Pelodiscus sinensis: one gene and its partners. The protein of the gene in region 3 purifies or fractionates together with the protein of the main gene of each other region. This does not show direct contact. Links are inferred from orthologs where the notes say so. Each region holds a gene or a part of one and is shown on either strand. Other genes may lie near its edges.

Region 1 (7,020 bases), on a different chromosome or scaffold from region 3:
AACGTCATGAGGAGCCTGACACCGGGCTCCCTGCAATGCTTCAAAGCTGCAGTTCTGCATGGAGCCCAGGATCAACGGGGGAGTCAACAGCTGACCTTGGGCTCCATGCAGTGCCTCCACCTTTGAAGTGTAGGGCTTTTGCTACAATTCAAAGGTGGAAGGCGCCCTATCGACTAATCAAATAGTCATTGCAAAATGCATCGACTATTTGATTAGTCAATTACTTGATATTTAACAACCCTATTACTGATATGGAACAGATTACAATTTCAATTGTAAACCTAGAGTAATTCTGCTTATTTGCATGGCATTATTTGTCCTTGTTCAGTGGTGACTGATTCACTTCACCAATAACTGAAATGCAGCTACCTCCAGAACTTAATGCTACAGCATCTTATTCAAGTGCTAAAGTAAAACTGCACCATATCAGTGTTATTAAGGTCATTAACAACTTATTCAGGACAAGACACACAAAAATCCAGATCTAAATGACTCTGCAACAAGAATTGAGTGCAACTAGAAAGTAAACATCCAACTGAAGTTTGTCTAACACAGTAAGTGGACTATCTAATTATCTTTCAAATCCCACCATACAATTTTCCATTACTGCAAGTCATAAAAAACATTGTTTTAGATCTCAGAAATAATTTTTTTAAAGTTATGATGTGCTGAATTTTTGGTATGGAACCATTCAGGAATAGAGTTTTCAATATTAGAAATACTTGTTACTGTTTCACTATCTGATACATGCACAGGCGCGCGCGCACACACACACACACACAATCCAGTTTATATTACAAAAAGTTGTGACTTTTTGTAGCAATTCATAAAGCTATGCAACAAAGCCAAATATTACTTGGAATGAGATCAGGGCCAAAGCCCATAATTTATAGCTTTCTGTGAATTAAAACTTTTTTTTGTAAGATTCATTGTCAAGTAGTTTCCCTATTCCTGACTCTGTCCTTTTCTTTTTGACAAGACTATTTTCTCCCACCTTCATTTTTCATGGATATGAAATAAGATTATTATAAATACCTTTCCTGTGGTCACTCTAAACCCTGTCATAATACATTTTGATGATGCAAGGTGAATCAACGTCAGCATAATTCTAAAGAGAACAAAGTATTGTATTTCTGTAGGTTCTACCCAAAACATGGCTTAATAAAATCTGAAAATAAAGTTTTTTAAAAGCATATTTTTACTCAAAATAGGATTATATGTAAAGGCAGGTCAAATGCTGATGCCTCAAAATCTGGATAGCGTCCCTTTAAATACCTATGTATAGTTCTGAATACCATTACTCTTCACTTAACTCTAAAAACAGCTAGGGACTAAGTCATCTGAGATTCACCAAACCATTTACCCCAAGACCTGCTTTTCACTGAACTAGAAAGCTTATAGTGGAAAAACAAAAAGGCCCTATTCTCTGCAATGTAACTGAAAGGATCTTTATATTTCAGATGGGAGTTACTTATATGTATGTCTGATGTGAATATAAAATTGAAGTGGAGCTCTTAGATTATCCAGTCTATTGGGAAAGATAATTTTAACAAAACATTGTTCAACTTCATCTTGAGAAAAGGGGAAATACATTTGAATATAGCAAACAGGCACATTTCTTGACTCAAAAATCAGTCAAAGGAGAAATAAGACAAGGAGTAAGTATATTTTATTTGCTCTCTGTCAGGACCCAATTCCTTCTCTTTAATCCCTACTAGTCTTTTCCAGGAAAAACTTGAGGTATTGCCATTTCTTAACCCCATTCTACTAAATCAAGTACTCAAATATCAATCCCGGACCATTCATATATTTTCTATTTTATGATTAAATGAGGTCTTATACTTGTTCCCCAAAATCAGAGCTCAACTGAATCCTATTTTCCTAAACTCTATTAGGCCCCATGATGAGTGATATCAAAAGAGCAAGGAACCAACTTGATAGGCACAGCAATATGGAACATCGTAGTTTGATTGCAGATTTTTCCACCCCTTACCCTGGGTACACTCATCAGGCTTAAGGGCTCTTTGCTACTACACAAAAGGCTCACGTTCACTTTTCATGTCTGTTTTCACCATCACCTTCAACAGGGGCTAGGAATACTGCAGAAATAGGCACTGTTATTTAACAACCATTTTTCTGGCCACGTTAATAGCCATGACATTCAGAAAAAGGGTCAGGACCAGTCCCCTCCACAAACTCCGTGTGCTGTCCCTGGCAAGCAGAGTCCTAAAGCAAGGCCAGCAGCTTGAGGAAGAGGGATCCTTACGGCTCAAAGTGTGACCAGTGCGGAAGAAGGAGAAGCGAAGTCAAAGGCCATGAACTCGAACCCAGTGACAGGGAAGGGGGGGGGGGGTATCCTGCCGGCCAGAGGGGAAACGGCCCCGTCCCTCTCGCGCCAGACACCGCAAGAGCAGGAACAAAGGTGCGCGGGGGCGATTCCTCCCGAGCCGGGCGGCGACCTAGGGCCCCTCACTCTCCAATCCGAAGAGCCCCCCCGCGGCCTCCCCTCGGGTCACCCGCCAGCGGCTCCTCACAGACCCGGAACCGCCTCGCCTTGGATCCAGCCGAGTCCAAGACCTTCCCAGTCCACGGCCCGAGGAGGTGACCCCCGCGGCCCAGCCCCGGGGCGTTGCCTGGCTACTTCCCCGCCGCCCCTCCCCCACACCGCGCTCCCCCCACCCCCCCGCTCTTACCCGCCGCGGTCGCGGTCCCGGCCCCGGTCTCCGAAGCCCCGCATCTTCCCGTGGGGCTGGGCGGGGGGCACAGAGGGGCGCGAGCTGGGGGTGGCGCGGAAGGGGTGGGGGGGCTCGGCCGGCGGCGGCTGTTGTGTCCCGGCGGAGTCGCCTTTGGCCGCCTCACTTCCCGAGGGAGGGGGCGGGGAGGCGAGAGACTCGGTCGGGCTCGGTTCGCGGGGCCGAGAGCGGCTCGGTTCGCCTGAGGGCCCGTCGGGCGCGGAGACAGAACAGCGTCCTCCTCCTCTGGGCTCCCGGCACAAAATGGCTGCCGCCGCCCCAGCCCGCTCCACTTACGTTAAGGGCGGCTTGAACTTTGCGCAAGCTCCGTCCCTGAATAGCCGGCGTGGGGGAGGGGTGATACGAACGTCGCTACGCCTATTCTCGAAGTCTGAGTACGTATGAGGCCGGAAAGCCGAACCTAACCACGACAATGCGCAAATTGCGTAGTACCCACGATCTGATTTGGCTTCTTGCGTTTGGAGACAACGCTGTTCCTTATTCCCGAAATTCGATTGCGCAAAATGCCACTCAAGTAACCCATTTAACGAACGGGGAGGCAAACCCTGACCAAGCGGCATATTACGTACATTATTCTACACAAGTTTCGTAGCAGTGGCTGGTTCTGAGCTGGGTTTAGCGTAGGGGAAGGAAGAGCCTTCCATTTTGCGTAAAATTCTTCAGTTGCTTCTGCTCAGCTGGCCGGCGGAGGGGGGGGGTGCAGAATTGCATGGTTCGCGTAGCGTATTGTGCTTGGAGAATAAGGTCTTTTTGCCTTTGCAGCAACTGCATGAGTGGGAGGTGGCAGCAAGCTGGAGAGACAATAATTCTGTGTGGCAAGCTGCAGAGTTGAAAAGGCCTTGGTGCAATTTAGCTCTGCTGCCTAAGAAATCCCCCCCACCCTCACCCCCAGGCTGCGTCTTGTTCAGGAAACTCACCAGGCTGACACAACATTTAAGCTCAGTGTCTGCTGGGGCAGAGAAGGGGTTGTCGTGTAAAGTGCATGTTTGTTTGCCTACACATGTCATAAAAGCGATCTTGCCGCAGTGCACAGACAGGACGAGGCCAGTAGCAGCCGCCATGATATTTACTCTCTCCTTGTTTCCAGTAAAGCAAAAAGAAAGGGGAAGGAAATTTAGCTAAATTAATGTAATTATTTACGTGAAATAATTACAGCCCCTTCAATAGGAAGGAGATTCCTTGCGATCTGGTCAAAAAACAAAAGTACAGAAGCATTGACAAGCACTATTCCACTGCCTAGAAGGTGAAGCTTGAAAGTTTCTCTTTTACTCACAGAAGCTGGTTCGATAAAAAGTATTACCTCACCCTGTCTCTCTCCGGACCAACACAGCTACAAAAACAGGGCAAACAATGCTATTTTGTGTGGTGATATATTGCGTGTTTTGAAGTATTGTTACAACTTAAAAGTTTACATGTTTTAGTGTTAATAAGGACAATATTTTAAATCCTTTCATAATCTTGTAATAATAATTGGCAAAATACTTCCTTCTCTTACATTTGTGTAACTCCACTGGAATCAATAGGCATTCATAGATTTGTAAATGAGAAATGAATTTGACTATGTATATTGTATTCCTCTGGTCCTTTTTATTCTGAAGGATACCAAAGTATTTTTATGGCCCTATTATTTTCCATGCTTCCACAAGTGGAAAGCATAAAACTCCACTGACCTGAATGCTGGGGAGCTCTGCAATGTCATTCCAATGCTATGGAAACACTGTCTGAGGGCAGGGTGCGGAGCTGCCAGGTATTTGCTTTGCAGGAGCATCACCCCCACAATATCTCAAGTGTTAGCAGCAAAAAAGAAGCCCTAAAGGGAAACCTTTGCATAATTGTTGTGCCTTACACAAGCTTTTTTGCCTCTCAAAGAAAAGGATCTGATCCATATAAATGATATCCAGGCATCACAATTCATACACCTCAAATTAGTCACCTCTGGTGAAGAAGCTACACATTCTTTAACTGCATAAATACACAGATGGGAGGTAGATAAAAATATGTCCACTTGAAACAACAGGGGAACTTCAACTATCTACTTAATTTAAATTAGAATATGGCCAGAACACTGGGATTACTACCATTACATTTTTTAAAATGGACAACAGATGCAAGCATTTTCAGTGAAGCTGTCAAATGATTAAAAAAATTGATTGTGATTAATCATGTGATTAGAAATGAATCACAATTAATCATGTGGCTAACCATGCTCTTAAACAATAATAGAATACTATATTTTTGAATATTTTGGATGTTTCCATCTTTTCAATATTTTATGTCAATTACAACACAGAATATGTAGTGTACAGTGCTCACTTTATTTTTTGTACAAATATTTACACTGTAAAAAAATAGTATTTTTCAGTTCCCCATTATAAGTACTATAATGCAATCTCTTTATCCTGAAAGTTGAAATTAAAAAAGTAGACATATACAAAAAATAACTGCATTTAAAAATAAAACAATGTGAAACTTTAGAGCCTACAAGTCCACTGAATCCTACTTCTTGTCCACTCAAACAAATGTGTTTACATTTGCAAGGGATAATGCTGCCTGCTCCATGTTTAAAATGTCACCTGAAAGGAAAAACAGTTGTTTGCATGACATGGTTGTAGCCAGCATCACAAAATATTTACATGCCTGATGTGCTAAAGATTCGTCCCTTCACACTTCAGCTCCCATTCTGAAAGCATGTTCCACACCTTCTCCCTCAGATTTTGGAAGGTACTTCTGATTCTTAAACCTTGGGTCAAGTGCTGTAGTTAGCTTTAGAACTTCTTTGTGTTTTGTCAAAATTGCAGTGAAAGTGTTCTTAAAATGAACAACATTTGCTGGGTCATCTTCCTAGACTGCTACAACATTAAATATATGGCAGAATGCAGGTACTACACAGCATGAGACATACAATTCTCCCCTAAGGAGTTCAGTCACAAATGTAATTAACATTATTTTTTAATGTGCATCATCAGCCTGGAGGCATGTTCTCTGGCATGATGGCCAAAGTATAAAGAGGTACTATTTTTTCATCATTTTACAGTTCAAATATTTGTAATTTTAAAAAAAGTAAGCACTGTACATTTTGTATTGTAATTGAAAATATAGAAAAATGTCCACAATATTTAATACATTTCAATTGGTATTCTCTTGTTTATCAATGCGATTAACTCAGAGAACTGATGGGTAGGATTCCCTGGAATACTTACATGAAGGGGAAAGGAGTCCAGGAGAGCTGGCAGTATTTTAAAGAAGCCTTATTAAAGGCACAGGAAGAAACCATCCTGATGCACAGCAAGAGAAGCAAATATGGTAGGCAACCAGATGACTAGAAAGGAGTATAAATATATTGCTCAAGAATGCAGGGGAGTTATCGGGAAGGTGAAAGTGCAACTGGAATTAGCAAGGGACGTGAAGGAAAAAAAGAAAGGTTTCTACAGGCATGTTAGCAATAAGAGGGTGATCAGAGAAGGTGTGGGGCCCTTGCTGGATGAGGGAGGTAACCTAGTGACAGATGATGTGGGAAAAGCTGAAGTACTCAATGCTTTCTTTGCCTCTGTCTTCACGGACAAGGTCAGCTCCCAGACAAATGCACTAGGCAATGCAGTATGGGAAGGAGGTGGACAGCCCTTGGTGGGGAAAGAAAAAGTTAGGAACTATTTAGAAAAGCTAAATATACACAAATCCATGGGCCCGGATTTAATGAAACCGAAGGTACTGAGGGAATTGGCAAATGTCATCGCGGAGCCTTTGGCCATTATCTTTGAAAACTCGTGGAGATCGGGAGAGATCCTGGATGATTTGAAAAAGGCAAATGTAGTGCCCATCTTTAAAAAAGGGAAGAAGGACAATCGAGGAAACTACAGACCCGTCAGGCTTACCTCAGTCCCTGGAAAAATCATGGAGGGGATCCTCAAGGAATCCATTTTGAAGCACTTGGAAGAGGGGAAAGTGATCAGGAATAGTCAACATGGATTCACAAAGGGCAAGTCGTGCCTGACCAATCTGATTAGCTTCTATGATGAGATAACTGGCTCTGTGGATATGGGAAAGTCAATGGATGTGATATACCTTGACTTTAGCAAAGCTTTTGATAAGGTCTCCCACAATATTCTTGCCAGCAAGTTAAGGGAGTATGGATTCAATACATGTACTGTAAGATGGATAGAAAGCTGGCTAGACTGTCGAGCCCAACAGGTAGTGATCAATGGCTCAATGTCAGGTTGGCGGTCGGTTTCTAGCGGAGTGCCCCGAGGATCTGTTCTAGGACCGATTT
Region 2 (6,903 bases), on a different chromosome or scaffold from region 3:
TCCAGTGGTCACCAACGAGTAGATCTGGATCTACTAGTAGATCTTGGAGCCTCTGATAGCCAAACCAGTCAGGATCACCTATCAAGTGCCAGTACTTCAGCTGCCCTTCCCCAGGGAGCTTCCTACTTGTGAAACAGAGCAAGGAAGGGAGATGGGGGGCTGATGTCAGGGTGCCTCTTCTTCCACTCTGTAGTCTATCTCCACAGAACTGGGAGAGGGGAACAACAGGGCCTGGGATGAAAGGAGTTTCTGGCTGCTTTGGAGAATGGTGAAGGGCCAGGGCAGGGGTGAGCCTGCCTTAGCCCCACTGCAACACCACCCAATAGCCACCTGTGGTAAACAGTGTCCAGCTGGAGCCAACTCTGAACCCCTGCCCCAGTCATGTACCCCACTATACCCCAAACCCCTGCTCTAGCCCTGAGCCCCCCCAGACCCAAACCCCCTTCTGCACCCCAGGCTCAACTCAGAGTCCCCTCACACTCCAAATCCCTTAGCCCAAGACCAGAGCCTGTGCTCCAACCCTCTGCCCCTGCCTGGGGAAAGGGAGGGAGAACGAGCACGAAGGAGGCAGGACAAGGGTATTTGGGTTTGAGGTAGATCCTGGATTGCACTCACATTCAAAAAGTGATCTTGGGTTTAAAAAAAGTTGGAGACCCCTGCCTTAGTCACTGAAATGGTATTCAATTGATTGGTTTAAGTTGAGTACCACTGCAGGTGAATGGCTCCTTAAAACTAAGCCAGTTGTAGAGCTGGAGCGGGAGAGGGAAGAGGGAGACAGGGACACCACCTTTTCGAATGTGTGAATGGCTCCTTAAGAGCGCCACCTGGGGAGACACTTGCCAACCCTTTTGAAATGTAATGAAGACACTACGGGTCACAACCCATAGGTTGGAAAACCCTGGTCTAGTCAACAGGTTATCTAGTCATCTTTAAACATTGTTTTCAGAAAAAACATGATTTCAGGAAGACCCTTTAATTAACCTGGAAATAGCACATATCTAATTTATCATAACCAAGAGGAATATCAGTGGCACCAAGATACAAATTCAGAATGGAGCCACATCAAATCTCTAGTACAACGAAGATGACAGCTTTAAACAGCACTTTCCTACTTTTACATGAAGAGTTGAGATGAGTGACGTAATGTGTCTACTATATTAACACTGGCAATGCCATATTATAACTGCTTTCTAATAATGCAGTTCATAAAGAATGCATTATAGTTTCACTAGTATCAGATATTTTTAAATGTAACAATCCTAACAAGGGGCTAAATTATTCTAATCTAAAAAATTATATCCTTTATATGCAGTTTACACTTCCTTTTCTTTTTTTACACAGTAAACTGTTGGTTTAAAAACGAACAAGTTAAAACACTAACAACTATTTTTAAACAAAACTGTCTACTTGATACAGCTATGTGTGACCACAGTGCAGCTGCGCTGTAGTGATGTGGAAAAATCTGAGCCGCCAGGCGATTGGACAGTGATGATCAGGGGAAGAGAGTGCTAGCCTAGTCACAGAACAAAGACTACCATGGCCATTTCCATTTAGTTTCATCAGAGGCATGAAACAAGCTCTAATACAGATTTTCATAGTGGTGAATTAAAAAACCCCACAATTTCACATTTCAAAGGAGTAGACTACATAAAAAAACCGAGTTTACTGCCGTACCATTCTCTTTAGTCTCCTCTTTCCCATGGATGTAAAGAGCCAAGAGAATCACGCTTTCAGAGAAAGAAGTTATAGGTTCGTGTTTGATCCCTTTCAAACCATGAATTAATCTTTGGGGCTGGATGCTATTTAGGATACACCCATATCGACCCGGATTAAAACTACCCATCCATCTAACGTGCATTAGAGCAGGAACGAGCGCAACGATAAAACGCGCCCCACCCCAAGCCTTGGCGACTGAGCTTTTCCACGCGCTGCTTCAACCCTGCCGAGGAGGCAGTTTACAGAAGCCACCAGGAGCGAGCCCAGGACAAAAAGGCGACCGCCTGCAGCTCGCGGCGGCGGCGGGCCCGGAGGGAGGGAAGCGGCCGCATGGCAGCCAGTCGGCGGCCTCCTGGCTGCACGAGGATCCTGCCCCCCGGGAGCAGCCAGTCACCTCCCGGGGCGGGGAGAGCAGCTGTGAGCGCCGAACAAAGAGCGGGGTCGGCCAGGACTGGAGCCTCAGCCCCTCCCCGCCCCGGATCGCGGCCTAGGGAAGGGGGGAGGTGTTGCGTAGGCGGCGGCGCCTGGCGCCAGCAGCAGCACAACGTGGGTGACAGACACACAGACCCCCCCCCCCCGCCTCTCCCGCGCCCTTCCCCCTCCCGGCCTCGTCCCCTCCCCCACCCCGCGCTACCTGCCGTCAGCAGCTGCATGGCGTGGGTGAAGGACGGGTCCAGACTGTCCTTCTCGGCCATGAGCTCCGGCAGGTACTTGTTCTCGGGCTCCATCTTGACGGTGGCCCCGGGCAGGAGCGGGGTGGGCGCGGCGGTGGGGGTCTGCGAGGCGGCGGCGGTGGCGGCGGGCGGGAGGAGCGGCGGCGGCTGGGCCCCGGCCCCCCGGGCCCCGCCTCGGGGCGGCCGGCGGGGCGCGGGCCCCCCTTGCCGGGCGGCGGGGCCCGGAGCTCTGCCCAGCCGGGCGGCGGGGTCCTCGCGGCGCTGCATGCCCGGAAAGAGGGGGCGGGGGGGCGGCCGAACGAGCGGGGGGAGCGAGAGGGCGAACAGGATTGCCACACACCGACCGCCGGGGCTCCCAGGCCAGGAAGTGAAGGGCCGGAAACGGCTCCTCGCCCACTGCGCCTGCGCTCCCGCCGCCCGCTGCCGAGCGGCGTGTACGTTCGCCCCGCGCCCCCGTCAGAAGCAGCCAGCACCGGGCATGCGCCGCCGCCGTCGAGAACAAAGCGCCGAAGTGAGCCGACGCGCATGCCCAACCGTCACCCTGCGTGCCCTGCCCCCGCGTTGCGCGCGCGCGCACGCGCAGCGCTCAGCCCGCGAAGGCGAAAGCGCGCGAGACTGGCGGCGAAGGGAGCTGCGCCCGCCGGAACTCGCACGCTCCGCCGCCAACAAAAGTACCCAGGGGAAGCAATACGCCTGCGCAGCACGGTGACGCCCTCCGGAGGTACACTGCGCGTGCGCAAAACAACGCCCGGCGTCGAGAACAAAGCGTCGGCTACACTTGGGGCGCATGCGTATTGTCCTCTCCCCCTCCCCCTTCGATCGAATACTGAGGGCGTAGCGTAGTGGCTGTAGTGCGCATGTGCACGTCTCTCCCCTCCCTCCCGCACCCGGGAATGTGGCACGTGCTGTGGTGCGCATGTAGCCCTGGTGCGCAGGGCGCCACGTGGTCGGGTTTGGAGCCGAGGGGAGAAAGCGCGACAGGAGCCAAGGGGAGCATGGGGCGCAGCCGGGAGGAGGGGCCACACCCCAGGGACAGGGGGATTGCAGGCGGGGGGGGTGTTGTGGGGGCAACCACGAATAGTGGGTGGGCCACGTGAGTGGCTCTCCTTCATCTCAGTAGGTCACAGCATCCCATGGCCCACTGGGGATTCACCGAGGGTTGCCAGATGGTTCAACAACAAATACCGACCCCCCTCACCCCCAAAAAGGGGAATAATTCTGAGAAAAAAAGGGAGGGGGGGCACTGCCTTTAAATGGCTCCTCACTCCCCTGCCAACACCAGACATGGCAGAGGAAAATTGTGCCTGCTGGGCTTGTGTTTGAGAGAAACAGGAAATACCAGACTTTTCACAGGTCTGGTTGTTGTTGTTGTTGTTGTTGTGTTTTTTTTTTACCGGACGAGGGACCTGAATAACGGACAGTCTTGGTGAAAACCGGACACCTGGCAACTTAAGATTCACCTATGGGCCTGCAGGTCCCCCCCCCCCATGTGCTTCTCATGCACTGGGGCACCAGAGCCCCCCCCACCATTCAACTGCTCCTCCCCTTCCCGCCTAGCACTTTCACAGTGGCACTGTCTCACGTCCTCCTGCTTCCTGTCCTCCCCCTTCCTCCCAAAACTGGAACACAGTGAACAGTTGATTAGCAATGTTCCAGCTCTGGGAGGGAGGGGGAGCCGTATCAGAGCGCAAAACAGGCAATTTGCTGGGAGGGAGAGGGGAGGCATAGGAAGTGCAAGGCTCAGGTGGCCTAGTGTGTAAGAGGTTCATGGGGGAGGAGACATGGGGGGGAGGCTTGTCTGCAGGAGCCCCAATAGGCTGCATGTGGCGCGCAGGCCTCAAGTTGCCCACCACTGACATGGGGTGAGGGCAGGGTGGGTGTTGTAGGGATACTGGTGGGGAGCATGGGGTATAGTGGGGACACAAGGGATTCAGGTAGGGGGGTGCTGTGGGGATACAGGGAACAGTGTAGGATGGGATAGGAATGTGTAAGTCAGACCACACACTCATACAGACTCTGATATTTACAGCAAATCAACCAAAGAAAATTGCCACTGGAGGGCTGGTGATCTAGTCCTAAACTCATGTCATCCTCCCTAAGCACTAGCAACAGGTGTTGAGTTGGCTGTTGCCTTCTAGGGAAATTATAGTAGGCACAACACGACCCCTTGGGCACTCTTGCCTGAAGGCACTTTAGTGTCTTGCATTCGCCTAAATTCTAAGTGGTAGAGTAACATAGTTTTGGAAGTGGATCTAAGATTCTTGGAAGGGAGGACATCAGAGATTGATCCAGTTCCAGTAGTGTCCAGCAACTCAGACTTTGCAGAGCACCCTAATAAGCTGTTGGAAATGAGCTGAGTCCATGCAAGGGAGGAAAAAAGACTATGGGAAGCAGCTGAATCTATTGGGGGTTTATAAATCCCACACATAAGGTGATGGTGACAGGAGGCCTAACGCTGAGCTAATGTGGAAAGAACTTTCTCCTTGCAAATCCCCATGAAATCAAGTAACATTGCTGAGTCCAGAGTGAATCTGGAGAATGAGCACAAACCTCAGGGGAAGAAGCCTGGCACACAATTTGGGTGGGCATTCTGAACTCAGATTTCACCAACCACTACAATAGCCTTAAAATGGAATCAAAGACAGTCCCATGAGGTACTCCAATCTATACTGCCTCTCTGGTATTCTTTCCTTTGTGACAGATGGGCCCTTACATAAAAAAACACAACAATATTCAGGTTACTTCCAGTCTCAAAGGACCACTCACTTACTCCAGCTGCTTTTTAGAGCCCACACCAAAGACAGTGCTAGCCAATCCTACAATTAACTAAAGATTTATTAACTAAGAAAAAAAGTTAATTAAAAGGTTAAAACAATTAAACATACACAAACGAGTTACAGGCATGTAATAGAAGTTGCTGTGATATGCAAGTTCTATAAGTTATTTACAGAACCCAAGCTAAGCAGCTGGAGATCCCTTGTTTTTTTCCCTCTTGTGTTCCACAGTGTCTTCTGTGGTATCTATGGGTGTTCTGTTCAGCAGAAGATGACACCTCTTGTGAAAAACTAGTATTCCGCACTTGGTAATGCTTCTCTCCTGACTGGGAGTTTACTGTATCAGAGCAAACATTTAAATACTAATTTATAACATGGGATATAGATATTATAAGTGACATTAACGCATGCAACAACTCAAACATTCCATAAAGCCTAAATACATTTCTATAAATCTGATACCTATTGTAGCAATACTAACACACAAGTGGACCAGACTGGTTTCCAGCCATGCACTTGGCAGTGTTCAGTTGAGGCCTCAGGCCTTTGGCATGAGCTGGCACCTGGTCTGCCAGTAGTACAGTTGCACCAAGGGATTTTTCAGCAGGAAAACATTGTGGGTCACTGGTTGCAGGGATCTCTGCCAGTGTTGTTAATGAAGTCAGTATTCCTTTACCGGTTGGCAGGACCCCGTTCCTGGAAGCTACAAACCTCCATGCCACTGTGACCAGCCATTCTCCCATAATGAATGGATTGATGGGTTCATAGTTCAGGAACACAGTGGAAAAGTGGAATACAGGATGTTGTGGAGTCCAGGACTTTAATAGGATTTTAAAAAAAAAAGCTAAATAAATTCATGGAGGTTAGGTCTTTCAATGGCTATTAGCCAAGATGGGTAAAAATGGTGTCCCCACCCTCTGTTTCTCAGAAGCTGGGAATAGGTGACAGGGGAGGGATCACTTGATGATCCCCTGTTCTGTTCATTCCCCCTAGGGCACCTGGCATTGGCCATTGGGATACTGGGCTAGATGAACCTTCGGTCTGACCTAGTCTGGCCATTCTTATGAACAGTTTGTAAAAGCTATGGCTACTGTAGAAAATCCTGCCATGCCTGATAGTGTGTGGGTCTGTCACGCAAGGGTTCACTCAGGAGGCTCTAGAATAGGGGTGGCCAACCCAAGGTTCTTTCCCCTCCCCCCCGCAGGTGTGGCTCGTGAAGCCCCCCCCGGTGGCTCAAAAGCTGCCCCCGCGCCTCCCAAAACGGCCCTCTCCTCCTGTCTCCCTGTGCTAACCTAGGCACGGCGCAGCCATGAAAGCTCGACCAAACGCGACTGGGGACTCCTTTTAAAAGGGCAAAAGGGGCAGTCCTTTTTTTTTTTTCTCTCAGCAACTTTGCCCCGGCTCTTTGTGCTGAATCCACCATCCGGGCTTCCTTCTCTGCCCTCTTCTCTGCTTTCACTTCCTGATTCAGTTGCGCTCTCCCTTTCCATCTGTCCAATTCAATTTCACATCTCTGACATAGCTCTCAAATGCTTCACCCAGGATCCTATTCACCTCTCCCTGCCTGTCCTTCCCAGAGCACACGTCTTCTATGCCATCCCATCGGCCCAGCACCTTCTGCTCCAAACAATCCATCCTTGCTCCTGCTAACGGGCCACCATGGTGCCAGTCATTTGCCTGCTCTTTCAATAGGAAGATACAAGAGTAGACTCTCTGTCCTCCTGCACACTGGTTCTGCA
Region 3 (7,664 bases):
GCGCAAGAATACGCATGCAGTGTAGACGCTCTAAGTTTTTGCGCAAGAATGGCTGTTCTTGCGCAAAAAGCCTGTAGTGTAGACGTAGCCTTGGGTTCTAGCCTCAGCTTTAGGAAAGGAGGAGTCTAGCAGGTTGGAGCAGGGATGGGAGTAGGAACTCCTGGGTTCCATACACTGCTCTGCCATTGACTCAATCCGCGAGCCTGAGCAAGCCCCCTTCCCTCACCATTTGTAAAATGAATATAGACAGGGGCTCAGAAGGGAAATGTTTAGCCATACCTTCCCGTTGTTGAGCTGGCTGCTGGTGGCTGGGAATAGCTAGGATACGATGAGGGTTGTCCGTAAGAGGTCTGAGAGGTCTGACTGCTGCCATATCCAGTTGTTCCATAAGCTGGAGGTGTTGACTGAGTGCTGTAGCCAGCTGGTAAAAAACCCAATCCATTCTTAAAACATGGCCAGGCTAAACAGACCCAATGAATCCCTTCTATACCTCAAGCTGATTCAGTGCAACTGAAGTATAGAAGAGAGGCACCAGCTTATGTCTCCACAGCTCCTTTGGAAAGGCCGTGTTACTTAGTAAAGAATAAAAGTAACTCAGGAGACAAATTCTAACCTCAGTTCTGCCACATGTCTATAGTTTCAAGGCACTTGGTAAGATGTATCATACTAAACTTCCCTCCCATCGGCCCTAAATTGCAGGCACCTCTGGGGATGATATACAGAAACTAGTTAGATACACAATGCAAACCTTGGGGGAGGATACCAAGTAGGGAAGCAAATTTTACGCAATCCCTAGCCCATATATAGGCTAGAACTAGATGATGCAGATTCACTCTCACCCAAAAATGAAAGGTGATAGGGATTTTGTATTATTCAGAAGGGCTGAAGAGTGTTATTGGGTTTTTAAACACTTGATGCAGTAGGGACTGAATCAGCAATATAGCCACACCAATTAATGGATCCTTTGATGGAATTGGCCATCTGGAGAGAACCGATAGGAAAATACTCTGACGTCACTCAAGTAACTTTTGGATGGTGCTGATGAGACTTGCTGGCAGTGAAAAACAGCTTCACTTTAGCTGGACCAAGAGAGTGACACTTACTGCTTTGATTCTGGCCGTAAGAAGAACTGTAACTGTTCTGTCCATATGCTGAGGTGTCTGCAGACTGGCCGTAACCGCTGTAGCTCTGCTGGCTGTAGGGCTGACTCGTTTGCTGAGAGTATCCCTGTCCTGGTGGTGCTGGGTAAGCCCCATAGCTAAATGAGGATCAGACAGGTTAGATATTCCAGAGGCCAGCAGTGACTCCATAGTTAAGGCTGCAGCAGTTTAGAAACATTTTTTTTCAGAAGTCCCACACACATAAGCAAACTAATTTGAAAATTACCATGACATGGTGACACCATGTATCATGCAATTTGGGTTGAGGGGGATTTGAGGGAATAACCCACATTGTATCAGAAGCCCTGAACACCATTAGCACTGCTCCAGGGAAGCAACGAGTCAATGGATTTAACAGCATGGACTAACAAGTGTGTCAGTTGCATTACAGGGCAATAGGCAGATAAGAGCATTGTGCTAAATAGAGGCAGAGTCCCTGCCCAAAAGAGCTTAGAAATCAAGGGTGTTTAGGAGGAAGTTTCCTTTAGAATCACGTCATTATTTAACTCCCTGCTGTTGTTTTATTTAGATGTTTCTATAAAGCAGAGAATGCTGGCCGCTATTGGGAAACAGGATGCTGGGCTAGATAGGTGCACTGATGTGATCCAGGTCTCTAGGAGCAAGGAGGGATAACAGACTAGATGGGCCCACAGGTCTAATCCAAGGCAGGAATGTGGGCTGGAAGAGCCCACTGATCTAAGGCACTAATAGAAGAGCGATGAAGGAAAGACTCCTGGGATAACCCCCCCCTCCCCCATGTGCCAGCGTTGTCTTCTTTTTGCAGAGCCCAGACGGCCAGCGCCGCGCACGGGCGGGGGAGGGTTACCTCTGGGTGGCCGGCTGGCTGTAATCTGCAAGACACAAAGAGGGAAGCAGTGAGTCAGGTCCCAGACCAAAGCCCAGCTCCCGGGAGAGGACGGGCGGGGGGAGCAAGGGGGGGCACCGTACAGAGGGGAGGGGGAGGCCCAGTGCGCAGGTGTGTGTGTGTGGCTCCCCCCCCCCGCAATGGGGCGGTCACAGGCAGTGCAGGGCATCTACCCCCAGGCTGGGTGGCAGCGTGTGTGCGTGGGGGGGGAGGGAATGGACCACGCTTCACTCAGTGGGCGGGAGAGGCGATGATTGGTCGGGCGCGGAGGCTCCAACCAACCCGCTCTGGCGCCGCCTGCACAGCGCGTGGCAGAGCCCGGATGAAAGACTGCGGCAAAAAAAAAAAATCCGCACGACGCATGCGCCCACACGCGGGTGCAGGGCGGGCGGCCCATTTCTACTGCGCATGCGCCGCCCTCTGCGGCTCGAGGCGGCGGCGGCGTCAGGGGCCACAGCGCGCGTGCGTTCTTCTCTGCCACGCCCTTCCCTCTCCGCGCGCGCCTCGCGCCCCCTCCCTCCCCAGGCGCGCAGGCGCCGTTGGGCTACACGCGCGCAGCGAGGAAAGAGCCGTTTCCTTTCCCCCCCAAAATGGCGGCTAAGGCCTCAGTGTCGCAGGTATTGAAGGGGGGAGGGCGCCCCCCCGCACGAGGCACCGGCCCCCCCGCGCTATGTAGGAATTGCGGCCCCGCGTGCACCGGGCGGCGCTGAGCGCGGGAGCCCGCCCCCGCCACGGGGGGGGCATTCGTCCCCGGGGGGGGGGGCTGCGACCCGCCCCCCCCCCGACGGGTCTACAACCCATGAGCAGCCCCCTCCCGCCAGCCCGTGCCCTGCCGCAGAGCGGCGCCGCCTCACCGTTAGACGCCATTGCTGCTGCCGCCGCTGGAGTGAACGTCCCTCCCCCGCCCGGCAGTATTTATACCCTCCCCTCCCCCGCCCCTTGCTCCTGGACCGTACCAACTCCCTCGGCAGCTGGGGGGGTTGCTTGGCCCCTCCCTTCTCAGAGCCGCTGTTGCCCGCTCCCCCCCCACTCGGGGCGGACCCGCAGCCGGGTGTATTGTCTGTGCAGGGGGGGCGGTGGTTTTTCTCTGTGCACAAGGCCCCTGTTCTGCCCTTCCGGCCACCCCCCCCCGGGAGGGGAATGGTGCAGGCTGCGGGGGTGGGGGCGCGAGGAGGAATGAGGTCATGGGGCTGGGTGGAAGGAACCAAAGTGACTGCGGAAGCGGGGGGGAGGGGAGGATGCGGGGAGAAGGAGTTTGGTTTTCTGCGGGGGGGGAGGGTATTTGTGTGTGTGGCTGGGTGGGAGGGAGGCAGGGAGGGGTTTGTGCTTAGGGCAGTGTGAGTGTGTGTGTGTGTGTGTGTATAGGTGTGCATTTGTGGGAGACCTTTGTGCATCAGTGAGCAGGAGTCTGAGTTGTGGGTCAGTGTGCAGGAGTGTGTGTGCGTGAGAGAAAGATCTTTTGGGGTAAGTGTACAGAGGTGCATGTGTACGAGACTGTGGTGCATCAGTGTGCAGGGGTTTAAGATATTTGTGGGTCTGTGTGCAGACCTGTGTGTGTGTGAGAGAGGGAGAGAGAGAGAGAGAAAGAGAGAAATCTTTGCGGGTAAATGTGCAAGCAACACTTGTTTAGTTTGTCATACCAACAAGAAATCATTGAATTGATAGGAGGTGGGTTTGTCCAGTAGTGTCTCTTTGGGGGAGTGTCTCCTGAGGGCAATGTGGAGTAATGGTAAAAGCCATGGGCCAATACCTAGGGTCTTAGATCTCTGGCCTTTTCGGTGATCATGGGCAAGTCACTTTCCCTTGGCATGCCTCATCTTCCTTACTAGTAAAACTGGAATTAACTCCTTTGCAGAACTCTTAGGCTATGTCTACACTACATGCGTCTTGTGCAAGAAGCCTTTTGCGTAAGAGCTTTTGCACAAAAATTTATTGCGCAAGAGCACGTCCACACCTCAAATCACATTGCAAAAGCACATCACTTTTGCGCTGTGCTTTTGCGCAAGAGAGTGTCCACACTGCATGGGCGCTCTTGCGCAAGAAAGCTCTGATGGCCATTCACAGAATGACCATCAGAGCACCTGTGCTTTTTCCTATAGCAGTTTCTTTCGCAAGAAACCCCTCTGGAGCATCCACACTTGCCTTTTTGTGCAATAGCTGTAGTGCTAAAAGCAGTTATGCTTCAGAAAAGGAGGTTTACTTATGGTGGAAAAAGTCCTCTGTTCTGCCGTTTAACTGCCCATTTAATTGCCCAAGAACTCATTTGAGCTGTGGATGCTCTGCAGGTTTTTGCGCAAAAAGCTTATAGTGTAGACGTAGCCCTAGAAGCAGACCAAGAACACTAGATAAGTGCTAAGGTGTGTGTGTGTGTGTATAGGGGACTGAGACAAGTACATGGGTTTATATAGATGGATAGGTACGTATTTGTGTCTAGATATGTGTGGGGATCCATTTTTTTTCTCCAGTGTCTAAATCACTCTGTGCATTTGTTGATGGTATTTCCAAAAGCTGATTTAATCTGGATTAATCCTGACTGTTGGCATAAACTGAGTTCATGTCTGCAGTCTTGCTCTTGATTCAAGAAGGCGAGCCAGTTAAATTGCTCAATAAAGCTTAGTGAGATCCTTGACTGACCTTTGTTCTCTTGTTGCAAAGTTCACGTCTGAATATTTATAACAGTTCAGCTGTTTACTACACCTTCTTCTCAAACCCTAGAAGAAGTATCCTGGGATGCATTTCATCAGGACCTGGTGACTTGCTGACATCTAACTTTCCTAAGTGATTTTTGACTTGTTCTTTGTGTATCCTATCTTCTAAACTTACCCTCTCTCTGCTTGTATTCACTACGTTAGGCACACCTCCAGACTTCTCGGTGAAGACCGAAACAAAGAAGTCATTGAGCATCTCCGCCATTTCCAAGTTCCCTGTTACTGCTTCTCCCTCCTGACTAAGCAGTGGGCCTACCCTGTCCTTGGTCTTCCTCTTGCTTTTAATGTATTTATAAAAGGTCTTCTTGTTTCCCTTCAGTGGGGACGTTTCTTAGTGAGCCATCCTCCAGTAACAAAGTAGGAAAGAATTCATGGTAATAAAAGTAAGAGTCAGTTTTAATGGTAGAATCAGGCCAGAACAATTCCAAAGGCAGGGTCTGAGATTTTAACCATTTCAGATTATACAATATAGGGATCACCTAGAACTCAGACAGCTGGATTTCAGCGCTGATATTGGGGTGGGATGTTTGAAAGGATGAAAACGGTCTCTAAAAGAATGCACTTTAAATTAGATTGTAAGCTCTTTGGAGCAGGAACGTCACAAAAAGTGATTACTCTGCAAGGGTGGGGAACCGTTTTTGAGTCCAGGGGATGCTGACCCCACAGAAAAATCAGTCGGGGAGCACACACAAGTGAGAAGCAAAATAGAAAAACCAAACCCTCACTGATGTGGCCCCTGACTGAGAAGGAGAAAGACACTCCCCATGTTCCCTTTGTACACCAGATCTGAACTGTACTGAAGTTCAGCCACTGTTAGGGTGAGTAGATTAATAGATTTTAACACCAGAAGAGGCCACAGGTCTGTTCATATTTAATCCTCTCTCAGTGCAGGGCAGTGTGATCAGATTAGATGGTCTTTTGAGGCTTTATCCAGTCCTACCTTGCTGTAATTCCATAAGTGGAATTGACTTCCAAGAGAGTTTCACTCAGATACCTCTGTACTGAACCAAGTAACTTGTGTTTGACTAAAGCATCTTGTCTATTCTTGATCTGAAGCTATCAAAATATAGAGAATCCACCAGCTCTCTTGGGAAGTTAGTTCCAGAGTCTAATTACCCTCATTGTTAAAAGTCAGGGCCTTGTTATTTCTCATTGGAATTTGTCTGTCTCCCAATCACTGGTTCTTGTTATGCTGTTCTTTGCCACAGTGCATCCTTCTCTGGGGTGGAGCCTAGCAGTCAAACCCACATATATCACTACTGTTGGCTGGCTGAGCTAAGAGCAAACCCTTCCTCTTCGGAAAAAAAAATCACAGGATCTTTGCTGGAGCAGACCAAATCTTGGTTAAAAAGCTGGTTGCAGAATTTCTGGGAAATTCAAACTTGATAGCTGTCCCACAAGCCATTCCTATGAGAGACTTAGGTTCTGAATTCTCGTTAGCTACTCTTGTTCCAAGGAGAAACTGAGAGGGAAAGGTTACCCACAGCTGCAAGGAGATCACTCAAGACTTTGACACATTATCCTTTACGTGATTTAGATCCACATACAGTAACTCCAAAGTCCTCCCAAGCAACAGATGGCTTGCAGGGTGGCCGAATCCTTCACATCCCAGTTTAACGAGGCCTAAAATGTAATTCCATTAGCTGCAGGTTCTAGGGTGGAGTCAGATTTCCCCCTATTTCAAGACACATTATATCGAAGCAGCCCTTCCTTCCCTTTTTCAGTCTGCACCCCTGAGCAGGTTTTTAAAGGAAGATGAAAAATCTTTCCCTCAGGTTCCCAGGCCGGATGTCTCAGCAAGGATTGGGAGTTTAGATCAGAAGCTGTTTGGGGTTCGAGTCATCTCTTTGGTGTGTGTTTGTGCAGCCCCTAGCACAAAGGCCCCCAGCTGTGATATTTTGAACCTTGTTTTATTGTGTCATTGTGAATGTGTACTTGTGTTTTATGACTTGAAAAGTGTAAGTAGCAATTCATAGAGGACATAATTAGATGCCAGAGATAGTAATCAAACGCCTATCAACACGATAATATAAAAGCAATACCGTTACTTCTTTTGCCATGCTTAATACATCGTTTGGTGACAGTTTCCTGAGGTTAGTACATTTCACTTATTCTTAAAATTAAAAGGTTTCTATAAGCTTAGAGGAAACACCTTTTTTATTTGCTTATCTATGGCATGAACAAATACATCATCTCTTATATAACAGGGATAAATCACGCATCAGAGTCATGAAATGGGCTAAAAATAAGGTGTTAAAAAGCTGAACAAGTGGAGGGAGGCATGAAACACTCTTTGCTTGTGACGCCATTTAGTGTAGGGCCTGCCCTGCTAGGCCCCATAAGTGGTATGATAAATAAACGTAATGATTCTGTACTTATCACTGGGGTATCCAATTCACAATTGTCACCGTGGGTTTCTTTTTTAAGCAGCATTTCTTTTAAAACCCCTCAGGATCAGGGTCCATTCAGCTGCACAGAATTCGTGTCTGGCGCAGTGTGTTTTCCTCATGACAAAAGAAAACGAACGCACGTTTAAGTCAATGGATGAAAAAATGAGCGTGGGAGGTGAGCAGAAATTGCACTTGGGGAAGAAAAAAAGCCCATGAACAAAATTGAGGCCTGGATTCTTTGTCTTGGGGCCTATCTGCGCTGGGGGCTCTGACTCTGCAGTGGTGACGTGGTATAAGAACCCACACAGAATAGAAAAGGTTGGTCCATGTCTCGGATCGGGATTCAGGAAGAAAAACGATTCCTCTCCCTGGAACCCCCTTATTCTGCAAAATGGTTTCTTCCCCAGTCCAAGGCTTTCCTGTCTGTGTCCCTGAAACCGGTTCAATCCGGCTCAGAGGCCCATGCGCCATTTATGAATGGCCTTGCTGGGCGTTGGCAAGGCAACCGTGGAAAGTAGGTCACTGGCTCAGTGCATGACAC
Region 4 (7,497 bases), on a different chromosome or scaffold from region 3:
TTCACAGACTACAGCAGCTTGCCTCCATTGAGATTTTTGGGTGAGTTCTCATATATGCTTTTCCCCTCCACTATAAAAAAAAAAAAACCATTTTCCAAGCAGATACTGCAGAACTGACCATCTTCCAAAGATCAATAGCTATGATGATTCATCATGTTAGATGGTACCAACTTCTGCAAAATGCTGGCACAGGCAGGGATGAAAAAAAGATGCCATAGCTGGGAATGTAATTTAAAGTTTGCAAGGGAAGGCTGAAAAGCGTAAGAGCCTTCATAAAGGAGATGTCCAATTCAAATTCTCAGTATTTTCTCCTGGCATGGGCTCCCTTCATGCTAAAACAGTTTATTGCTCCTGACGGAGGTAATAGCTATTAAAACTTGCAAGAAAATGCAAAGTGTTCAGCATTTCCCATCTTGGCCTAAAAAGAATGGAGGGAGGAAGAATGTACAATTCAAAAGGCAGCTGTTACTAAACTAGCACTGAGCACACAGCCCTCCCCTCCCAGTAACTTTTGGGGGAAGAGGGGCTAAGGTTACACCAGAGAACCAGCATTGCAACATGCAGGATTACCAGAAAGTTACTCCCAATGTCCTTCGGGCCAAGGGTTTATTCCAAAGAAAAGGCGGGGAAGGGGGCTGTTGTTTGTTCCGCATATTCACCTCCCATTCCCATCCTCCACGCAAATTCAATGCTGGGAAGAAAGGGTTACACGCCAGCTTATTTACAGCAACGGCACGGCCGTGAAATGAAGCGCTGAGGCCTACATGTCACGGTGCCAGCGAAGCACGGGAGACAGGAGTCAAGGGCCCAGCCGCAGTACGCTACAGAGGAATACGCACACGTGGGGAGGAGGGATTCCCTTTCCCACACGCGCAGGGCCGCGGTGAGAAGGGAGAACACGTGGGGGTGAAGGGGAATCTCCCCCACACGGTGCCGGCGTGCTCCGATCCATGGGGCACGGATCCGACACGCACACGAGAGGCAGGGAGTGGGGGATGGGCCAGGCCAAGCAGAGCCTCTCGTACCCCCCCCCCCTTTCCCTCCCCAGCACAGCTAGTCTGTCACCCTTTGAGGCGCTGCAAATTCTTGCTGGGACCCAACCCGGCGGGAGAGGGGGCGATCAGCGCCGGGAAAAGGGAGAAGGCCCCGCGGTGAGCGGGGGGGGGGGGCGGGGGGGAGAAATCACATGTTCGCAGCAGAAGAAAACCACGTTGTCTTCACTGCAGTGGAATGCCGGGAAGGGGAGGCAGCCCCGAGCGCAGCCCGCCCCCCACACACGCGCGCAGCCCCGATCGAACGCTGGAGCCCTCCGCCGTGGAACGTTCACACCGCGGCCTGGAACGTTGACACCGCGGCCTGGAACGTTGCAACAGTGCCGTGGAACCTTCGGCGTGAAAACCCGCCGCTGCCTCCCCCCCCTCCTCCTTCCCCGCCCCAAAGCCGCATGGCCGAGCCGCTCCGCCTGGGCTGGGCTCCCCCTCCCCCCGCACACATGCTCTCTACGCCCTCATGGCTCCCGCAGGCGGCGAGCCTCCCCTTCCCCAGCGAGCCGGGGCCGCCCCAGAAATCCCCCATCCCCGTTCCCCCGATGACCTCCCCCGGCCCCGCCAAACGTGCGCCCGGCTCGGAGGCAGGCGGAGCGCGGCGGCGGGCGAGCAGATCCCCTTCCACGCGCCCAGGCCACGTTTAGTTTCTCCCCCACGCCGGGCTACGGCCCGCGAGACCCCCCTATTCGGAGCACCCGGGCCAACTCTGGCACCCGAATCCAGGCGGGGGAAGGGCGTGGAGGCCTCTTCTTTTCCTGCTCCGTGCCGAACACACTCATTAAACATTTACAATATGGGAAATGCGGCCTGGCTCCACGGGGGGAGGGGAGGAAAGTGATCTCTTCCCACCAAGCCGTCCCCTCCCCCTTCCTTACACGCACCGACCAGCCCCCCCCCCCCGGCATTTCTATCATGCACCTGGGGGGGGAGGCCTTTCACGAAAAAGCAGCTCCGGCTGTGTCCTGGTCGGGCGTGTGAGACACCCCGAGGCCTGGCGAGGCTCCCTCCGGCCGCTGCCAGCCCCCCACGCCCTGCTGCGCCCGCGCACCCCACCCTCGCTTACTCCCCTTCTCTACAGAGCTGACGCATGGGGGCCGATGGGGCCCAGGACCCCGACGCAGGGGTCGATCCAACAGCGCAAGAGCCAATGGGGTGGGGTTGGGGGGGGGAAGAGAACAAAAAAACCCAGAGTCACTATACTGCATTTCAGCGATCCCACCCCACCGCGGGGAAGGGCGACCCCCCCAGCCTCACCCGCTTACCCACCTGGGGGGGACTGTCCGTTGACTGTGACCACGGCCCCGGGGGCGTTTTTAGTCCAAGGGTTCACCTTGGGCGGGGGGGCCTCGATGAATTCCTTGCGCCCGCCTCCTCCCTGCTCGCCGCCTTCCTCGCCGCTTCCCCCCGCCTCGCCCAGCAGCCGGTTCTCGCCCCCTCCTCGCTGCTGAAGCAGGTTCTCCTTCTCCTGGTTGTTGCTCTCCTCCTTCTGCTGCTTAATGCTGGGGGGCTTGGCCGCCGCGCTCCGCCGCGGCTGCTCCCCCGCCGCGCCGCCTCCCTTGCTGCAGCTGTCCGGGGCGCCCCCGCTGCCCTCCTCGGCGCTGGCCTTCTCCCCCTGGGGCATGAGGGGCTCGCCCTTCTCCCGGCCCCCTTCCTGGGGCTTCTTGATGAGCAACCCGTGCTCCTCGGCGGGCAGCAGGGGGTTGCCGGGCAGGAGAGCTTCCACCTGGGTCGCCATCTGCGCCCCCGGCCGGCCGCCGCGTCCCCCCCGCTCCTGCTCCAGGCGCTCCCCCCGCCGGGCGGGGCCCTGCTCAGCCGCACGCAGCCCGGAGCAAGTGGGGAGGGGTCCCTGCGCCGGCTCCCCCTCCCGCGGCACCCCTCCGGCTGCAGCAATATGGAGAAGCACGGAGACCACGCGACTGGCACGGGAGCGCGCACTCCCCTCCCTCCCTGTCGCCGCCGCGTGCGCGCGCCCAGCGCCCGCTCTGGCGCGTGTGTGTGTGTGTGTGAGTGCGCGCGCGCGCGCCGTAGAGGGGCTGGCCCGGGACGGCGGCGCGCGCGCGCCTGATGCAATGCGCGGCGCTCGGAGGAGCTCCTTAAAGGGGCAGCGCCGGCGGGAGGGGGCGGAGTCGGAAAGGGGGCGTGGCGCAGCCCTGCGCCTGGGAGCTTGGCTCCCCGCGTGCCCGCCCCTTAGGCACCGCTGGGGGACGGGCAGCAGCGCGCGCAGCGCCGCGCAGGAGTTGCGCCCCTTTTGCGCCAGCGCGCAAGTGCCCGGCTTGGAGGCGGCTGCGCGCCGTGCCCGGCGGATCGTCAGGCTTTCCCACACCCTGGCAGACAGTTCAACCCGCCTGGGCGAGTGTGGCCACGAGCTGCCCCAGCACCCTTGGGTCCTGCGCGGTTCCCGGGGCAGGGGGAGCGTGGGACTTAAAACACCCCCCACAAGCCCCTGAGAAGTAGGGCGTGGGGGAGCCGCTTCCTCTTAGTGCCACCTCTGCCCAGACCTGTTGGATTCCGCAGGGATTCTCCGGAACGGCCTCCTGTGCCCATCCCAGTGTCTGCATTCAATAAACGGGCCGCTCCCTGGGATGCCATGGACCACGGGAGCTGCGCTCACCCTTTCGAGAAGCCCCGAGGAACATTAAAAGCACCACCAGTGGCAGCGACAGTTTAGTTTCAAGGTAGCAGTGCCCGGAAAGGAGGGGGAGCTGGATTTTCATCCAAAGACGCGGGTGATGCCAGCTACGTGTTTTGTTCATCACTAAGGTGCTGCGAGGCTTTTTGTCCAGTTACAGACAAACTCGGCTCCCTCCCGAAGCGTCTGGATTTTGAAGGAAGTTGTTAGGAAGAAGGGGGGGGGAAGAAAAACTAGACAGTGGACAAAATCTTGGAGGAAGAGATGAACTTCGCCCCTTATTCTGAAGGGCAGTAGGGGTTAAATTTCTAACAGACGCCCCAGGGAGAGTTTCAAGTAGCCAAGGGGCCTGCAGTGAAAATGTCTTCCCTCCGGCTCTCAGCTACTTGTAACTCATTGGCCACTATGTCCCCCTCAGTGCAGGATGCACAGACCATGTGTGCCCATGACAGCCTCCTGCTCAGAAGCCGGCTGGAAGTTCAAACTCTAGAGCCATGTGCGTTCAGCTCTGGAGATTTCCAGTTCAATTCCCCGTGGGTTGACTGCCCGGAGACACCCAGATACTGTTGTCAGGACCCGCTCAGATCTTGTGGGGGCCACAGGATAAGAGAAGGCCCCAGGGGTTCCTGTAACCCAAACTTCATTGCGCTGTGACCCCCTTCTGACAATAAAAGTCGCTACACAACACTGGGAGTGGGGGCTGGCTGAGTCTGCCTGAGCCCATGTGGGGAGGGGGCCCAAGCCCCAGTGCTCTGGGCAGGGGAGGCCAAACCTCCAGAGTTTCAGCCCCAACCTCAGGCCTGTATCCTGAGCTTTGCTGCCCAGGGCTGAAGTCCTTAGACTTTGGGGTCCCGACGCACAGCTTGAAAACTAATGCTGGCAATGGCCAGAGTGCATGAGCTCCTACCATGATTCTGAACCGTCAGGGTGGTCAAACACTGGAATAAATTGCCTAGGGAGGTTGTGGAATCTCCATCACTGGAGATATTGAAGAGCAGGTTATAAAGGCATCTATCAGGGATGATCTAGATGGTGCTTGATTCTGTCATGAGGGCAGGGAGCTGGACTTGATGACCTCTCGAGGCCCCTTCCAGTTCTATGATTGGGCTGGGTGTGGGAATAGAGCAGGGGGCCCAGCTATGCCAGCTCTGTGCCAGCTGAGAACTCCCTCCCCACTGGGAGAATTCACAGCTGGCCGCATCTAGATGATTTCTTGTGCCTCTTCAGCTGCAGAGAGGGATCAAAGAATCAGAATCCAGGAGAGAGTCGGGCTTGTGGTCTTGTAGATAGCCACGTCTCAAATAGGGCGTTCTACATTAAACTTCGAGAGTGTCTAAAACCAAACAGGAAGCCATGCAGCGTGTGGCATACAGGGATAACATGCTCATGAATCAGCCGCACTAAAAGCAGGCAAGCCATTTATTTTCTCTGCTAGCTAAAAGTTCCCATTTATCTTCAGGGTTAGCCCCTACGTAAAGTTCACTGCCACAGTACGACCTACAGATGCCAAAGTTATGCATGGCTGTGGTGAGGCCCACACCAGTAAGAAAAGGCAGCAACCTCTCAGGTAGCTAAAAATGAAAAGAAAGCGCTACCAACCACTGTCACCCTCTAGGAATCCAAAAGCAGTCAGGTGGCTGGGCAAGCAAGAGGCACAGACGTGTCTCGGGATGGTGAGCATCCTTGGCACAGAGCAGGCAAACTCCAAATGGAGTCATTATAAGGCCCTAGCAATTTTTTACCAAAGTGGTTGGCCAAGTCCCAGAAAAACAAGGAAACTGCCAAGTCTGAGCTGCATCGAACTAACACTGGATGGCACGGGCTGACAAAATGCAACCCTAGGGGGTGCCCCATGAATAGACCAATGGGGCTGCAGGAGAGGGGAAATGAATCCTTACCCAATACCATCCTCCCGACCCTGACAAGAGATGCCTTCCAAGCTGACGCCACATGTAAAAACCCGACTGTCTGGGTGCAACCAAGCCACAGCAGCAGCAGTCAGATTATAGCTACAAAATCGCCAGGGATACCTATAGCCACTGCAACTGATCCTATCTGGCCTCCCTTAATTCCAGCCCCGTCGTGATTCCCTGTGAAATATTTGTCATGTTCACGCCTCCCCTAGGCTTGTCACTATGACAGTCTGTCAGCGGTGTACTGTACAATCATAGAAACCCCCCCTCGGGGGGAAAAGGTGCCTTTTGGAGCCAGGGTGTGGTGCAGGAGAGAGAGAGGCATCTCAGACGCTTGCTCGGTATGTGCTAAAAGGAACAGAGAACACTGCTGCCGCCTCATTTCTGCTTATGTAAGACTTACCTGTCAGGGTATTTTGGGCCCAGCTGTTTCTATATTTAGTCTGCAAAAATAAAGCCTGGATACCCAAAGATGATGCATTTCTGACAATGCTTTCAGGTCCAGACAAGGAGGAGCATGTAGACCCACAGTGTGGGGTCCTACCCCATATCTAGGACTATAGACACGATGCCAATACAAATAATCCATAATCCATGGAAAGATACATTATGCACCGTCGAAACACACTATGGCTGTGTCTACACTGGCATGAATTTCCGGAAATGCTTAAAACGGAATACTATTCCGTTTTCAGTTTTTCCGGAAAAGGAGCATCTACATTGGCAGGCTGCTTTTCCGGAGAAGCGTCTGTGGCCAATGTAGACGCGCTTTTCTGGAAAAGACTACTGGGCTGTCTACACTGGCCCTTTTCCGGAACAGTGTTCCGGAATAAGGACTTATGCCCGAGTGGGAGCAGAATAGTTTTTCCGGAATAGCGGCTGATTTTGTACAGTAGAGCATTGTTGCTTTTCCGGAAATTCAAGGGCCAGTGTACACAGCTCGCAGCTTATTCCGGAAAAGCGGCTGATTTTCCGGAATAAGTGGCCCACTGTAGACACAGCCAAACAGTATACAGCAACACACAACTAAGTCTGCACTGGTGCACGTGCACACACGAGTATGCACCATACTTGCACACAATTGAATTCAGTCTCCTTTAGTGTCATGCTCTGAAGATGGGAGGTTATTACCCCAGCAGCACCTCTGTATTTTAAACTGTCATCGCCAGGGCAAACATTGGTTTTCAGGGAGTTAGTTATTTAGCAGTTGTTTTTTTTTAAATTTGGGCTGAAATTTCTAGGTTTTTGGTTTATGGAGTTTCTATGATTAAAAAAAATCTCAAAATATTGAGCCTGAGTTTTGCCCTGTGCAGCCTATATGTATTTGCAGAGTCTATTATTTATAGCGCACCTCCTGTGTCTAAGTTATTTGCAGTTAGATCTTTTAACTGCCTGTTTAGTGCTTACATTAATACGAGAAGACAGTCTACGATCAATAGCATTGCTATAAACCATGTGGACCAGCCAAACAGCTGCTCTTGGCATCATGGTTCTACCAGCGATCACCTCGGAGTTCCTGTAAAACAGTTTTATGAAACTACTCTAAGAAAATTTTAAGTAAGATTACATTAAACTTCGGTGAGGCTTTGTAGGAACAAGCACAAGGCCGTGGCGGAGTAAGAGTGAGCGCGTCTAACATTGTAACGCCAAAGAGCGATGGCGGCGATGGGGCATGTCCCCTCCATCTCGCTGAAACTCGCCGGGTTCACCAGATGGAGTGGAATTTGCCGAACTAGAAGCCGTGACCTCTGTGCCGCATTTCAGCCCTGAACGTGCACACAATGGCCGCATTCCCTCTGCCTTCGTGCGATTATCTGCCAATTCCATGGAGGGACTCGTGGCCAACTTTGCCAACAATGGGGTGCAAATGGCACATTTGGAGCCAGTCGCGGCGCTCTCAGTTACCTGC

What was found.
Region 1: the proteins of FUS (region 3) and DDX17 purify together in Homo sapiens (affinity purification with mass spectrometry; 5 studies listed by BioGRID and IntAct, with this or other methods). This does not show direct contact. The link is inferred for Pelodiscus sinensis from reciprocal best matches to the Homo sapiens genes FUS and DDX17.
Region 2: the proteins of FUS (region 3) and KHDRBS1 purify together in Homo sapiens (affinity purification with mass spectrometry; 3 studies listed by BioGRID and IntAct, with this or other methods). This does not show direct contact. The link is inferred for Pelodiscus sinensis from reciprocal best matches to the Homo sapiens genes FUS and KHDRBS1.
Region 4: the proteins of FUS (region 3) and LARP1 purify together in Homo sapiens (affinity purification with mass spectrometry; 3 studies listed by BioGRID and IntAct, with this or other methods). This does not show direct contact. The link is inferred for Pelodiscus sinensis from reciprocal best matches to the Homo sapiens genes FUS and LARP1.

What each region holds. Positions count from the first base shown.
Region 1 is NC_134711.1:91,724,717-91,731,736, reverse strand, and holds the start of DDX17 (putative ATP-dependent RNA helicase DDX17), read right to left. Parts: upstream 3,001-7,020; 5' UTR 2,738-3,000; coding exon 2,694-2,737; intron 2,602-2,693; exon of another isoform or gene 2,272-2,601; intron 1,054-2,271; exon of another isoform or gene 1,036-1,053; intron 1-1,035. UniProt on the Homo sapiens protein: As an RNA helicase, unwinds RNA and alters RNA structures through ATP binding and hydrolysis.
Region 2 is NC_134735.1:3,883,475-3,890,377, forward strand, and holds the start of KHDRBS1 (KH domain-containing, RNA-binding, signal transduction-associated protein 1), read right to left. Parts: upstream 3,003-6,903; 5' UTR 2,658-3,002; coding exon 2,351-2,657; exon of another isoform or gene 2,332-2,350; intron 1-2,331. UniProt on the Homo sapiens protein: Recruited and tyrosine phosphorylated by several receptor systems, for example the T-cell, leptin and insulin receptors. Once phosphorylated, functions as an adapter protein in signal transduction cascades by binding to SH2 and SH3 domain-containing proteins.
Region 3 is NC_134714.1:131,652,909-131,660,572, forward strand, and holds the start of FUS (RNA-binding protein FUS), read right to left. Parts: upstream 3,008-7,664; 5' UTR 2,893-3,007; coding exon 2,880-2,892; intron 2,643-2,879; exon of another isoform or gene 2,575-2,642; intron 2,012-2,574; coding exon 1,987-2,011; intron 1,259-1,986; coding exon 1,104-1,258; intron 422-1,103; coding exon 280-421; intron 1-279. UniProt on the Homo sapiens protein: DNA/RNA-binding protein that plays a role in various cellular processes such as transcription regulation, RNA splicing, RNA transport, DNA repair and damage response. Binds to ssRNA containing the consensus sequence 5'-AGGUAA-3'.
Region 4 is NC_134727.1:38,046,906-38,054,402, reverse strand, and holds the start of LARP1 (la-related protein 1), read right to left. Parts: upstream 3,001-7,497; 5' UTR 2,782-3,000; coding exon 2,313-2,781; intron 1-2,312. UniProt on the Homo sapiens protein: RNA-binding protein that regulates the translation of specific target mRNA species downstream of the mTORC1 complex, in function of growth signals and nutrient availability.